Notamacropus eugenii: one gene and its partner. The protein of the gene in region 2 interacts with the protein of the main gene of each other region in a pairwise test. Links are inferred from orthologs where the notes say so. Each region holds a gene or a part of one and is shown on either strand. Other genes may lie near its edges.

Region 1 (8,052 bases), on a different chromosome or scaffold from region 2:
CTACTTCCAAGGTCAGCCTCGGTTGTCCCAGTCCCTCCGCAAGGGAGTCATTTTCCCTAAAGTCAAATCGGGGGAAACCAGAGAATGCCCGATCCTCTACTCACCAGCAAAGAAGAAGAGGTCCCTGCTCCGTGGTTGCTGGAGACATGGCGGAAGCCCCTCTGGAGGGGTATCCCTGGGGCAGAAGCAGAACCCCGGTAGCTGCCCAGTGGGAATGGGCGGTAGTGGTACATGTTGGCATAACCAGGATACACTTTAGACTGCTCTCTCTCCAGATATTCAGGTCCCATCACGCACTCTGGGGCAATGTTGGAAGGGTGCCCTGGATAAAGACAAGAACAAGGGGAAAGACAAAAAACCCTAGTTACCTACAAATGTAGTGAAGCTCTAAGACACGGGTACTAACTATCCAAGGACAGTGTTCCTAGGGGAAATTCACTTGACACAGAGCCCAAAGTTCGTTTACAAAGCATTTTCCTCCCACTAGATCTTTGAGGCCAAAGCACCCATCACATCAGCCCCCATTTTACAGTCAAGGAAACAAGAGTCCCATCAAAGCCTGGCCCAGGGTAGCTGGGATGGGATTTGAACCCAGGCCTTCTGGTTCCAAGTCCTAGCTTTTCCAGAACATTAGGGGTTGAAATTCCCATGTATGAACTTAATAAACTGATGGCATCACAGACACTCTGGATGGTATTTAGCCTGGCGAATGGATACCCGTGTTACCTAGAGCACGAGGTCGTAGTGGAAAGGGCTTCGTGCGTATCAAAGGTCTGGTACGACTTAAGGCACTGAAGAAAAGCCCCCCTCCCCCACTACTGCGTGGGAATTGTATCAAGTTGAGCGTAGTAGACAGAGCCCGGGAGGGAGGGGGAGGGGAGAGAGGAGGGGGAGGGGGAGAGCAGGAGGAGAAAAGGAGGGGGAGGGGAGAGCAGGAGGAGAAAAGGAGGGAGAGGGGAGAGAAGAGGAGGGGGAGGGGAGAGCAGGAGGAGAAGAGGAGGGGGAGGGGGAAAGGAGGACAAAAGGAGGGGGAGGGGAAGAGGAGGGGGAGGGGGAGAGCAGGAGGAGAAAAGGAAGGGGAGGGGAGAGCAGGAGGAGAAAAGGAGGGGGAGGGGAGAGCAGGAGGAGAAAAGGAAGGGGCGAGGAGGAGAAAAGGAGGGGGAGGGGAGAGCAGGAGGAGAAAAGGAAGGGGCGAGGAGGAGAAAAGGAGGGGGAGGGGAGAGCAGGAGGAGAAGAGGCGGGGGAGGGGGAGAGGAGGACAAAGGGAGGGGGGGGGAGAGGAGGGGGAGGGGGAGAGCAGGAGGACAAAAGGAGGGGGAGGGGGAGAGGAGGACAAAAGGAGGGGGAGGGGGAGAGGAGGGGGAGAGCAGGAGGAGAAGAGGAGGGGGAGGGGGAGAGGAGGACAAAAGGAGGGGGAGGGGAGAGGAGAGGGAGAAGGGAGGGAGGGGAAGCAGCCTACCTACTACAGAGTGACCTCAGGCCTGTTTCCCAGCCTGTAAAACCAGGGGGGGCCGCTACGGTCCGGAACCTCCCCCCCCAATACCACGTTTCCAAAGCCCGGAACTGCACCGAGACACTCGCACTAAATAAACCTGCCGCCCCCCCACGCTTGGGTCCACAAAGCCGCTTTTCCGCCCCCCCCACCTCGGTTCCCCCAGCTTCATCAAGGGCAGGCTCGGTCGGGCGCCCCCCCCCCGGCCCCGCACTGCTCCCCAGGGGACGCCTCGGTCCCTGCCGTCCGGTTCGGGGGAGGGGAGGGCAGACGGCAGACAGCCATCTTTCTAACCCAATCCTCTTTTTAGAAATGGGGAAACTGAGGCCCAGAGTTTGAAGCGGCCGGCCGCAAGGCGGGGAAAGGAGCGTTTTCTGGGGGGATGGAGCGAGGGGGGCCCGGGCCGCTCCCGAGTCACCGCCGGCCCCCTCCCTAAGGCGCAGAAGCGGCCCGCACGGGGCGTCCCTCGCGGTCACTAGGCCTCGCTCCAGCCCCGGCCTCCCCTGCCCTCCGTCCCCAGGGTCCCGCGCTCCCGTCGGGGGTCCTTACCGAAGTCGCCGTAGGGAGGGCTGGCAGAGGCCGAGGTGGAGGCGCTGAGCGGCGGCGGCGGCGGCGGGGGGGGCGGCGGCGGGGCCGGCAGGGGCATGGGCATGGGCAGCGGCAGCGCCCGCCGGGGCCCGGGCTTGAAGCAGCCGTCGAAGCCCCGGGCGCTGCCCCCCGCGGCCACCTCGACCCCGGGGCCGCCCCCGCCGTTGCCCCCGGGGCCCCGCTCGAAGAGCCCCGAGGGCCCCGGCCGGGCGCTCCCGTAGGGGCCTGCGCGGCCGTCGGGGCCGGCGTCCCCGGGCCCGGGCCCGGGCATGGGCAGCGGCATGGGCAGCGGACGGGCGCAGGGCGCGGGCCCCGGGCCCCCGAGCGGCTCGGCGGGCGGCTCGTCGGGCTCGTCGCCGTCGTGCAGCTGCCTCTTGAGCACCTTCTGCGCCGCCATGATCTTCTGGCGCTCCGTGATCAGGTAGCACTTCTCGCAGCTGCACTGCTTCCAGCGGCACTTGCCCACGTGGCCCTTGACGGGCACCAGGAAGCCGTGGTTGCGGCAGCGCGAGCACTTCGGGGTGCGCAGCATCTTGTCGGCCGCCTCCTTGGGGGGCTCCGTCTTCATGGCCCCGTCGCCCGGGCTGGCGGGCGCAGACGGCGGCGGCGGCGGCGTGGAAGGAGGCGGTGCCGTCGGAGGCTCCTGGGACTGGGGCGGGGGCCCCGCGTGCCCCGAGTGGCTACACTTGTAGCAAGGCGGCGCCTCCGCAGACCACTTGCACAGCAGCCCCTTCTTCGGGTGCAGCGGCCCCTGCACCCCGGGAGCCCGCGCAGGGGAGCCCCGCGCCGCCTGCGTGCTCCTCGGGGCCGGGCAGCCCGGGCACGCGCAGGCTCCGGCCTCCTGCTCGGTCAGCGGGGGAAACTGAGGCCCGGCGCGCTCCGCCTCCGCCGCGTCCGGGCCGGAGGAGTGCATCGCGCTCACCTCCAGGCTGCGGGAGCTGGCTGCGGCATGGGGGACGTCCGGGTGGGGGAGGGGAGGGGAGGGGTGGAGCCCTCCTCCCTCTGCCAGTCTGGGCCGCGCATCCCCCTCCCCCACCCTCGGCCCAAGTTAGGAAACCTCTTCCGCCTGGGAGCTCTGGAAGGGCCCGTGAGGCGCGCACCCCAGGGGGCACGGCGGCTGGGCCCGGTGCAGAGGAGCGCGGGTGCAGGCCTCGAACCGCCCCGGCCCTCGCTAGGCTTGCCCCTCCCTGCTGTGTGGGACAGAGGCGTGGCACCAGACGGCCCCCAGGCCCTGCCCAGAGCAGCCCTGGGGCGTCCATCTTGGACCCAGAGAAGCCTTTCCGCCATCGTTACGCCACGAGCACTGAGTAGGCGCCTACGGTGTGCAGGCAGTACACATGCGTGTGTGCATGTACCTGTACGCACAGTCATACGCATGTATGTATAAATAATATGCATGAAAACATACATTTATAAAAATACGTGGCAGAGACGGAGTCGGTAAAGGAGATACAAAACTAAGATTTGCAAAGAGAGGAACGGGGCAGCTCAGGACTGGTTATCCTTTCTTAATTTTTATTATAATGTTTAGATTTAGGTTTATTTCCTCTTCTTTATTTGACTCTGTCCGTCCGTCCCTCCGTCTGTCCCTCCGTCCGTCCGTCCGTCCGTCAAGCCCGCCGAGCGCCCAGGCCTCTCAAGCGTCCGTCCATCCTCGAGCGTTATCCCCGAACATTAAAGGAATTCGAGGTCGAAATCCCTCAGCCCGGCCTGGTCCCGGCGGGAATCCCCAGGCTGAGGCCCGGCCTCGGAGCAGGGGGAGGGGCGGGGGAGGGGTGACGAGGACCCCTGCTGTTACTGGCGCTGACAGGGAGGGGGAGGGGGGCAGTGAGTGACGCTCGGGGTAGTGCTCCAGGAGGGGGGGGCCGGGGAGGGCGTCCGGCGAGAGGCAGCCCCAGGTCGGGCCCTGACCGGGCAGGGGTGTTGAGGGGGAGGCTCTAGGTCACCCCTGGCTGCCTAGCCGAGGGGACAGAGAGGATGGGCACCTTCAAGGGCAGACCCGGCCTCGCAGCATCCCTGAGCCAGGAGGGGGCCCAGAGTCTAGGCCAGCCCCTTTAGCACATCTCCCTTGGTCCTTCCCACGTGATAACAGCCCTCTGGCCTCTGGATTTCTGACTCTTTATCTACACTTTTTCCTTGTACTTCTCACCTTCTGCCTTGCATTACAAGTCCTTGGGTCCTTTATCTTATCCCATTCTTCTACCCCTTACACTGAGCAAGTCTTCCCACCTGCTGAATAAGTATTTCTTGAACTGGATTTTAATTCTTCTCATAGAAGGGTAAAATCAGAAGGTGACTTGGAAATTGGATTCCACCCTTCTTTCACAGATGAAAACTGAAGTGTGGGTAGTTTCATTTTTACCTTTGTAGCTCCAGCTTGTAGCACTCTCCACAAAGTAGCCTCTTGAATATGCTTGTTGACAGATTGATTGGCAAATTTCTCAAAACCTGAAAGTCGGTGCTGGTGGGGCTGCGAAGAAACAGGCATACTCTTTTGTTGCTGGCGGTATTGCAAACTCAGAACCTTTTCAGAATAAAACCTGGCAGTTTATAGGAAAGGTTACAAAAGTAATCATCCCCTTTGACCCAATTGTTTCTTTTTGAAAAATAAAAATAAGAGTCCCAAGATTTCCATGGCAGGACTGTGTGGCCACAAAACCAGAAAACTCCACCTGGAAGCAACCCAGACATGTGACAGTGAGGGAATGAGTGAATACATGGCGGTACCTTGGTGTAATGGGAAACTGTAAGTCAATTACATGTATGAGGATACAAGGAAATAGACAGAGAAACAGAAGAATGAAGTCCGCGTTAATTTCAGTCATCTAAGAGGGAAAGTGAATTAGTATGAATGGAGAAAGAACCCTGATAAAGATCTAGGGGGAGGGAAAGACGGACAAGTCATGATGTTTTACAGGCTGAATTTCACTTATTTAAGTTGCAAAACAAATTTAAGTTATTGCATGCATTGTTTAGGTTAAATATTAAGGGAGAGGAGCCAAACCTGAGATAATATGGATACAGGGAACTCCCAGGTAAGAAAACTCCCTCTACTCATGCAGGTCAGCATTTTCTCTGCAACTGAAGTGTTAGGAAGATGCGCGAATCCCTGAGCATTAAATGACTTGCCTAGGGTCTCACAGCCCCTTTGTGTCAGTCAGAATTTGAACCCAACATCTGAACACATCTTCCTGCTTCCAGTGCCACCTCTCTAACCACCATTTTAGTAAGTCATTTTTCCAAAATGTAAGGAAGAAGGAATTGGATGGTGAGAGAAGAAAGGATTTGCCTTCCCTCGCTACAAATTTCTCCCATGTTGACTCCATGGGTTTCAGGAAAATGTGTCATATGGCGGTGTGAATTTTCATTGCACTTGGAGAGTATTAATGAACAACTAATTAAAAGACTCCAAAATTTCAGGGTCTGAATGGGACTCTGAGCAAGTCACTTCATGCTGTTTGCCTCAGTTTCCTCATCTGTAAAATGAGCTAGAGAAGGAATGGCAAATCACTCCAGCGTCTTTGCCAAGAAAACCCCAAATGGGGTCACACCGAGTCAGACGTGACTGAAAAATGAGTGAGAAACAACAATAAAGTGTTTCACAACCAGCTTTCCCAGCAGCAGGATCTAGTTCTAATGAACCCAGCTCACCCAGTCTCTGACATTCTGAATACCCAACGCGACAGGCTTTGAAATGTCAGTCTACTCCTGTAGGAACCAATAGTGGAGTGGAAACCAGAGGACCTGGGCTTAATTCTATCTTGGGTGCCTTAGATGGGTCTTTTCTCTTTCTGGGCTTTAGTCTCCTTGTCTGGAAAATGAGAAGCCCAGACTAGATGCCCTCTAAGTCCTCCCTAGTGGGACCATTCACAGATATTTTGGAGAACTCTAGGAGGAGTTACTTCGTTTGTGATGGTCACCAGTTAAACCTGGTGTAGAGGTGAGAGCTCCAGAGTTGTGCTACCAGAAGACCTGAAATCAAATCCTGCCCTTGCTCCTTACTAGTTGAGTGACCATGGGCAAGTTCTTTAACCTCTTTTGAAGTCATCCTCTTCAACAAAACAAGTAAAATTGGGGATTCTTCATTTGGGCGTCCAAGATTGATTATTCAGTGTACTGTGTTTAAGCTGAGGGTCAGAGTGGACCAGACCTTGAGAGGTCTTTTTTCCAGCTTCAGAAAGAAAATATGTTACTCCTGAGTCTCTTCAGCTCAACATGTAGAAAAGCTTGTACCTTCATTGTGTCCCTATCCCTAGCTTACCACACCAGAGACTTTGGGAAATTTCCCCTTAGGTGAGATTATGCACTCTCTCTCTGTCTCTCTGTCTCTGTCTCTGTTTCTCTCTGTCTCTCTGTCTCTGTCTCTGTCTCTGTCTGTCTCTCTCTCTCTCTCCCCCCCTCATATCTTTGAACCTCTCTCCCCATGGGACAACTCTTTCATTCTGTGTATTATCTAGCGTACTCTCCTCTGCATAACATCTATAAGTTCTGCCTAATATTGGCTTTAATAGATGAGTTTATTTTCTATCTGCTATGTGTGCTCTCTGTGAAACTGGCATTTGGGAGGAAGGGAGATAAGCCTTGAAGTATAGATGTAGAGCTTGGATGCTTTTCCCCTATTGAAGGATAGGGATCAGAGCACAGCTTGAACCTAAACATTATTTCCCCTAGTATTTAGAGTTATAACTCTAGCCTAGTAACCCTTCTCTAAGGAGAGGAGAGTGGTCAGCCTTGTGGCCCCAATTTCCTATTCCCCTCCTGACAGGAATCAAAGTCTTCCTTAGGGAAGGGTGGGTGGAAAAGACCCCAGAGATATCTATTCACATCTCCCTGAAAGTCACACTAGACAGACTGATGTGGAAACACATAATCTAAATGGGCAACGCACACATGCCCTCCCCTCAGAACAGATGCCCCCTGAGGACAGGGACAGTTTTTCCTTTCTTAGCATCTTTTGCACTACAAGGAAATAAAATAAAGTCAATGAAATATTTCTAAAGTATTTCACAGAAGAGAGCAGCAGAAAGTTCAGAAGGATACAGAAAAGCAAGGCACTATTCAAATTATCATAGATTTGTTTTTTGGTTTTAAAACAAAAGTTTTATAGTTTTCATATTTTAATTTATATTATGTGTTTATAAATATATTTATTAAATGTTATATATAAATAATATATAAATATTGAAAACTATAGTTTTTATAGTTTTCAAGCAAAAGTCACCGTCTGTGACAGATTCAAGGTTTCCTGCTCTTTGTTTATGGAAATGAATGTTTGTTAATGTTCCACAAGTTCACAACAAAAAAAATAAAGTTTTGCAAAAAAAAAAATGCATTTTCTTGCAAGCTGTTTCTTCTTTCACGACATAACTAATATGGAAATAGATTTTATATCATTGCATGTGTAGCCTATATCAGATATGTATGACCTAAATTAACCCTATGATCAAAGTCTCCTTAGGTGAGATCGCGCTCTCTCCCTCTCTCTCTCTCTCCCTCTCTCTGTCTCTCTCTCTCTCTCTGTGTCTCTGTCTCTGTCTCTGTCTCTGTCTCTGTCTCTCCCTCTCTCTGTCTCTCTCTCTCTCTCTTAGTCTTAGTGAGCGGGGAGAGAGAAAATTTGGAGCTCAAAATTTTATAAAGATGAATGTTGAAATTGTCTTTATATATCATTGGAAAAAATAAAATACTATCAATTGGTGAAAAAACCCCAAAATTTTTTAAAAAGAGAAAATTTGCACACACAAAAAAAGCAGATCCCCTCTTGGATTGAAAGGATGGACCCATGTGACCCGCTGAGGGCTTTTTGGTGCCCTGCATCATGTCCCATACTGGCTAAGGAGGGATGATGGGGTTTGACCAAGTAATAAAAATAGTCAGCATTTATGTAGTACCTACGATGTATCAGGCACTATGCTGATAATTTTACAATAGCACTGGGAAGTAGATGCTGCTATTATCCCTGTTTTACAGTTGAG
Region 2 (7,479 bases):
TTCAAACTCTTTCATAACATGGCCCTTTCTTACTTTTCCAGTTGTCTTACACTCTGCTCCTCCACCTGATGACACTGGCCTCGCCAATGCTTCTCAGAGACACGTCCTCCTCCTGGCCCTGGGCATTTTCACTAACCCTCACTCCTAGAATTCTCTCCCTCCCCATCTGTGCTTCCTGGCTTCCTTCAAGTACCAGCTAAAACCCCACTTTCTACAAAAAGCCTTTCCCAATCATCCTTAATGCTAATGCCTTCCTCCTGCTGAATATCTCTGATTTATCCTGTATATCTCTTTCCCCATCAGACTATGAGCTTCTTCAGAGCAGGACTGTTTTTAGCTTTTCACTTAACAAAGTGCCTGACATACAATAGGTGCTTAATAAATGTTTCCTGACCAATTTGTTTTACTTGGGGAATACACAGTCACCTTCCTACTTTCCCTTCTCCCCCATGATGTTTTTTGATCCTCTTTTCCCCAAAGCCTGAAGGAGCAGACAGGAGGAAGAAGGGCCCCATGTATACAGGTACCATTCTTCCGCCCCCTTCAGGGCCCACTTTGGAATTATCTGAGCCAAAACAAAAACTCCACAATTAAAATTGTTATAACTTACTATTATATTTTCTTCCCCTCCAATTCCCTCTTTCTATCCCAACCTGCTACAAATATAAATAAATATTTTGTAGCTTTTTAATTCTGGAAAGGAAAAAAATTAAGGAAAAATTGAAATAGTTATAGAAAGTTTAAATACTGCTACTGCCTAAAAGCACTCTATTCTTGCCCCATTCACATTCTTTCATTTTTCTTCTCTTTAATGATCTACTTTTCATGAAAATATATAACTAGAGTTGCCAGTTTTATCCCTATAAAAACAATCAGCAATACATAAACCATTATGCCATTCCATTGAACATGGTAGGCTGAAAATATCTGGATATTCAAAACTCTATCCACAAGAGTGGACCAGTGACCATGTTAAAGTTCTGTAGAGTCACAAAATCAAATCAAAAGGATGAAAGTGTTAAGTTTTGAGCTAGAAATGACAAAAAGGGCCCCTAGCTAAACAAAGCTTCCACAATCATTCAAGTAAGTCCTAAATAAGAGAACAGCCAAATCCTAAAAATGGCCAAAATGAATGTTGCTTAAAGAATAGGGGAAAATAGAAGGGAACTCTCATGCTCTGAAATAACCAGAGGATCAAAAACTGTGACCACTCTGTGCTAGAAGGTTAAAAATAACACACAGAATTTAACTTTGCACAAAATGCCTACATGCCTCGGAGAATGGAATTTTCTAATAAAAATATGCACATTTACAGCAAACAACATTAAAAAGTATTCCTCGTGTGTCAAGCCTAGTCAGATGCCCATTTTGTCTGTTTCTATCCTAGCTCTGTTAAAAAGCATGAAGTCTTTCTCCAAAGCCCAATTCAATTATATACCAAAGGCAGTTATCAAAAAAACAAAATAGAGTTTAAATAAACTAAGACCAGTAAGATTAAGCCAGCTGAATTAAATAACCTCTGAGGTTCCATTTAGGCTCCTTAGGCTCTAAAACGACTATAATTCTACTAGTTTCAAGGTTCTAGTTTTAGAAGAAATATTTTAATGCGTCTGAACTTTTTAAGTTAAAAGTTATAAAGAAAGAAAAACTTTCTTAAGGAATCTATGAAACTCACCATCCTGCTACTTGAGGATTTCAGGCAGTCCGAAAGAAAGCTGAAAAGGGGAAAGAGTTTACAAACTTTTCATTCCTTATTTTATTCAAATATATCTATTTAATCTAAACAGTACATTTACAACAATTCTAGTGGGTCATGGTTAGAGGGAGAGAGCAGCAGATGCAAACAAAAGACCACAGGCAAGAAAGGGAGCTTGCTTTGAAAGCTATCCTCCAAAGCCAATGCCACTACACCTTTCCTTTATTTGCTTTATTATGTGAGCCAGTTGTGTTTGTGTTTATGCATATACATGTGCATGTGTCCCCAAAGAAAGCCACTGTTAATAAAGATTCCCTTTAAAGGAAATAATTTTGCTTTATCTCTTTTCCTTTCCTTTCCTATCAATTTTCTTTTGTTCCAGGTCTGTGATCTCTTGGTGTAAGTAGCTTCCAAGTGAGGAAATTCCCTCTATTCTATCCATAATTGTTCTCCAATTTATTAATCACAAAGCATTTATTAAGCACCTACTATGTGTTAGGCACTGTGCTAGGTTCAGGGGATATAATTCTTGCCCTTAAGTTTATATTCTATTGGGTAAGATAGCATATGCACATATAAGTGTAGGAACAGGGAAAGGGACTTGCCCGGTTATTTCACTGCTCTAGGGAATTGCTGGGTGAGGAAAAGCTCTATTCACACAGGTTAGCACTTTCTCTGTTTCCAGCACAGGGAAGCGAAATCTCTAACCACCAAGTTATCTGATGTCTGGTATAAACATATATACATATGGGGATCAGGAAAGGCCTCAGGCAGGAGGTACTGTTGAATTTTTAAGGAAACCAAGAAAACCATGTATGAGAGTTTCCAGGTACACCAAGGAGCTAAATGACTTGCCCAAGGTTACACAGCCAATATGGCAGCAGCAGGATTTGAACCCAGGTCTTTCAGAGGCTGACTTTCAATACACTATACCAGAGGATTTCAAATGTGGTCCTGTGGACCCTGGGGTTCCTTATGACATTTCAAAAGATTTTGCAGTATCAAACTATTTTCATAGTAACACAAAGATGTTATTTGCCTTTTTCCCTCTCATTCACTCATGAGAATACAGTGGTATTTTCCAAAGGCCACATGACCTGTCAATTAAAGTTTAGCTGCAAATGCAAAAACTGTTAATATCTTGTCTGGAAATTTGTACTTACACCTGCCACCGTGAGCTTGACAAATTTCCAATTCTTAACTCCAGTGACATTAATGATTTAAGCTTGTTACATAGTATGATGAACTAGGTCAGCATGGAGAAGATCTGCATACCTTACTGAACCAATACTTTCCAAATGACCAATTTATGTGTTACAAAATCTTGGGTAAAAGATCCATTTAAAGTATAAGATTCAACCAATGGATTTTAACGGAGCACTGTTCCAAAAGGTCACATATGTGGTTTTAGATTCCTCATTGCCACTAACCTTTAAGAAACTACCACGTGACCACTTTTGGTACAGCATCAAAGACATCTGGAAAGGCCATTTAAAAAAACTCCCTTTTCCAACTACATATTTGCATGAGACTGGGTTTTCTTCACATACTTCAACTGAAAAAGACATATTACAAAAAATTGAATGCAGAAACAGACAGAAGGATCCAGCTGCCTTCCATTAAGCCAGAAACTAAAGGGATATGCAAAAATGTAAAACATGGTCATGCTTCTCACTAATACTTTCTTGTTCTGGAAAAGTTATTTTTTAAGGTTAATTATATTCACATCTAATAATTTTACTATTACTTTAAAAACAAGAAATATTTTAAACATTTTCTCAGTTTTAATTTCTAATGCTGTATATCAGCAATAGCTATAACCCACCTAAAGGCAGTTTGGGGTCCAGAGACCAAAACATGGGAGAACCACTGCTCCTCAGATACACCAAAACCTCTCTAAATACGAGTTTGACTTTAAAGGAGTAGAGAAAAACCAGCCCTTCATCCAGACTGGATCCCCACTACAGCTCACTCCTAAACACGTGATTGTTTACAATGAAGGAACGCCCCCGCCGGTTCTTTCCCTTTCCACTCCCAAACTGTCCTTTTGGGATAAGCCACTGTTTACTTGTTTGATGATTCCGGGATATCTGGTACTCCAGGGGGTCAGGGTTCCACCAGCGGAGGTCGGTGTAAAACACAGGCAGGAAAGGGATGCGTTTCTACTCCTTCCGGCGCCCAGGACGGAGTAAGCTTGGGACAGCGGCCTGGCTAAATCCTCGCTGCCCCGGCCCACGCCCTCAGGACTCATCTCGGTCCTCAAATGCCAGCCGAAAGGCGGGCAGTGCTGACGGCCGCGATACGGGCATGGAGGCGGGAGAATCAGAGTGACAGGACGCTGAGACTACGGCGCCACCATCAAGTGCTCCGCTACAGTAGTGGTAGTTACTACTTACTAGTAAGTGCTTCCAACCGCAGGAGGAGTCGTCGCTCTCCTAGGGCCCTCCTCCCCGAGGTGGCCCACCCATCCCCACTCAGGAAAGCCGGGCTCTCGGAACCTCCCTCCGGCCTCCTCAGGCTACGGAACAAACGCTAAGACTTCGCGCTTAAAACGCGGGAACTAGAGGCCAAGTCTCGAGCGGAAGGAAGGGGCACGAAAACGAAGTTCCTCCTCCCCTCGCTGTGCCTCTGCGCAGGCCTCTCGGCCTCCCGCTCTCTTCTCCCCGCTCCGTCCCTAACCCGCAGCCTTCCTCCCTAGGTTCACCTCACGGCTGCAGCACTTCCAAACACGAACGGCGATTCTAGACCCCAAACGAGCGGACCGGAAGAGAGTAAGGCCGACGCACAAAAGGAAACGGGCCACTTCCGCTCTGACCCCAAGGCAGCGGAAGCCCGTGAGTAGGAAGCGGAAGCGACTCCCAGGTGGGCGGGCGTAGTGAGAGCGAGGCTCAGGTCTGGTGTTCCTGTCCTGTCGCGTTCTGTCTGCGGCCTTGGCGACGGGTCCTGTAGGAGTTTGGGTGCAGCCTAGGCTTCCATTCCTAGTCTCCTGAGGCTAAACTGCAAAACTTTCAGGAGACCTTCGAGGCGAAGCTTCTCTTCGTAGAAAAGGCTAAACTGAGGCCAGGAGCTGCCCTAGGTTACGGGGGGAGGGGCAGGGGCTTCTCGGCCCGGACCTGATTAAGAAAGGACGCCGGGAAGGCAAAAGGCTGGGACGACTGCCCAGGGGACCGCGGCCGCCGCTGCCGCCCCTGACGAAGAGACCGCTTCAGAGGGTTCGAAAGTGCCTTTTGGTTTGTTAAGATATGCGTAGATGTATATATTCAATATAAGTTGTTGACGTTGCGCAGTGATGCCGGTTTGGTTCTTTTTCCCCTATTGGTTTTATGTGGGCTTTGGGATGATCCGAGTTCAAGCCTTGCCTTTAACACCTAACTTGTTTTATGAGGCAGAACTGAGTTCAGATCACGTCCTCATCCCAGGGTTGTTGTGTGGATAAAACGAGTAAGATTTGTGAAGTGAGTGCATGCTGGCTTGAGCTCGTGTGCCTCGCATAAAGTTAGGCGCTTACTGCTACGATGATTGAATTTAACAGCCGCTTTATCTCGGCGTCCCAGGCCACACAAGACTATATATATATACTATAAAAAAGTTGCAGATCAGCAGCAGTGGAGGGAGTTCCCAACATCAGTTTACCCATACTCTTGAGATCATGTTCCTAAAGGAGAAAAAGGAATAGCTGGGGGGGTTTTTAGTCCCTGGAAATCAAGCACTTAACAAATAGCTCAAGAGGGGAAAGGTTCTTTATGGCTGATTCTTAGAATCTTTACCCTCTTGTCAGGAATTGGATATGAAATTAATTAATTACAACTGAGGAAACAAGGTAATTTATCAGAGGGTATTTCACCAATATGCAGTTCTTTTATTGTGTTCAGGGACATATCGCTAAGCTTTTCTCTCAGGAGAAAAGTAACTTCCTGAAAGACACTTTTTGATGCTTTCTATATTCTTCCACTCGATGCTTTTTATATTTCACTGCTTTCACATTCTACTTTGTCTTATATTTGAACATCTAAATGTCTTATTCCCTCCTTCTCCAGTGCACATTAGATTATTGTAATTATTGTAATAATGTGATCATAATATTGTAATAATTGTGATCATCAATATCTTACTCATTTTTATATCTTGTCCTATCACTGCTCTCCTTCCTCAATTAGCATTGTCCCTTATTCATAATAAAAATTTAATAAATACTTCCTGAATGAATGAATTAAATTAAATTAACTGCCTCTCTAACTAGAGTGCTTGAATGTTGTCTCCAACTACTATTTACGTTTCCTCTTTTTTTTCAACTCTTTTCAGTCTGGCTTCTAACTTCAATATTCAGCTGAAGCTAGTTAACAATCATCTCATAATACTAAAACCTTATGCCTTTCTCAGTCCTCATCCTTCCACCCTCTGCGGCATTCTCTCCCTGTTGATCATGTTTTTCTCCTATATATTCATTCATTTGTATTTTCATGACATTGATCTTGCTAAGATGGGCTCTGTCCTGAACCCTTTTCAAGTACAGATACATTGTATCTCAATCAATCAGTAAACACTTATTAAGTACTTACTTCGTGCCAGGCATTGTACTAAACACTGAGGATACAAAAAGAAGCAAAATACAGTCCCTGTCCTCAAGGACCTCACAGTCTAAAGAGGGAAAAGCATGCAAACAAATACAAAGCTAGCTGTAGATGGAATAAATAGGAAGTGATTAACAGAGGGAAGGCATTAGAATTAAGATGAGTTCGAGGTTTCCTATAGATGGTGGGATTTTAGTTGGGATTTAAAGGAAGCCCTGGAAATCAGTAGTTAAGAGTGGAGGAGGGAAAGCATTCCATGCATGGGGGACAACCAGAGAAACTTTACAGGAAGTTTCCAGATGAAGGGTCTTATTCATGCAACAGTCAGTAGGCCAGTGTCACTGGATGGAAAAGCATATGTTAGGGAGTAAGGTGTAAGAAGACTGGAAAGGTAGGAGGGGACCAGATTATGGAGGAATTTGAATGCCAAACAGAACATTCTGTATTTGGTCCTGTAGGCAATAGGAAGCCATTAGAGTGGTCAGACCTGCACTTTAGGAAAATCACTTTAATGGCTGAAGAGGATAGACTGGAATGAGGAGAAACTTGAAGCTGGCAGACCCACCATCATGCAGTAGTCCACATCTGGGGCAATAAAAATGTACCAAATTATTAGTAATGTCAGAGGAGAGAAGGGGGTTGTATTCAACAGATGTTGCAAAGGTGAAATAGATGACCCTTAGCAAGAGAATTGATGTGTTTGTAAGGGGGGGAGGTGGTGGCAGAGGTGGCAGCGAGGAAAGATAGTGAGGAGTCTAGGATGACTCTTAGGTTTTCAACTGATCTCCATCAGCAACCAAAAGTTTAATTACCCTCTGTGCCAGTGACTCTAAGATGTACATACACAGCCATGAGTCTCTCTCCTGAGCTTCAGCACTTGGAACTAGATGTACCATAGATGCCAGCTCAGATGAAACATGTCTAAAACAAGCATTTATTAAGTCTTTATGATGTGTCAATACTGTGCTGTGATATACTGGGAATACAAAGAAAATCCAAAATAGTCCCCCTGCCTTTAACAAACTTATGTTCTAAAGGAGACATGTTAAAAGAAAAAAAGGCTATTTTCAAGATACTTAAAGAATAGATAGGTGACCTTAGAAGGGAATGTTTTAGCATTTGGGGAGACTAGAAAAAGACTCCCACAAAAAGTAGCATTTGAGTATTTTGAAGGAAACCAAGGAATTTAAGAGAGAAAAACATTCCATCTAT

What was found. The genes of interacting proteins can lie anywhere in the genome.
Region 1: the proteins of NIF3L1 (region 2) and DMRTB1 interact in a two-hybrid assay, tested with the Homo sapiens proteins (2 studies listed by BioGRID and IntAct). The two-hybrid records come from large-scale screens. The link is inferred for Notamacropus eugenii from reciprocal best matches to the Homo sapiens genes NIF3L1 and DMRTB1.

Annotation. Positions count from the first base shown.
Region 1 is NC_092873.1:513,648,823-513,656,874, reverse strand, and holds the start of DMRTB1 (doublesex- and mab-3-related transcription factor B1), read right to left. Parts: upstream 3,103-8,052; 5' UTR 2,994-3,102; coding exon 2,042-2,993; intron 323-2,041; coding exon 105-322; intron 1-104.
Region 2 is NC_092877.1:297,045,624-297,053,102, forward strand, and holds the start of NIF3L1 (NIF3-like protein 1), read left to right. Parts: upstream 1-4,395; 5' UTR 4,396-4,530; exon of another isoform or gene 4,531-4,926; intron 4,927-5,484; exon of another isoform or gene 5,485-5,516; intron 5,517-7,479. Other genes in the region: PPIL3 (peptidyl-prolyl cis-trans isomerase-like 3), read right to left, coding at 1,676-1,678. UniProt on the Homo sapiens protein: May function as a transcriptional corepressor through its interaction with COPS2, negatively regulating the expression of genes involved in neuronal differentiation.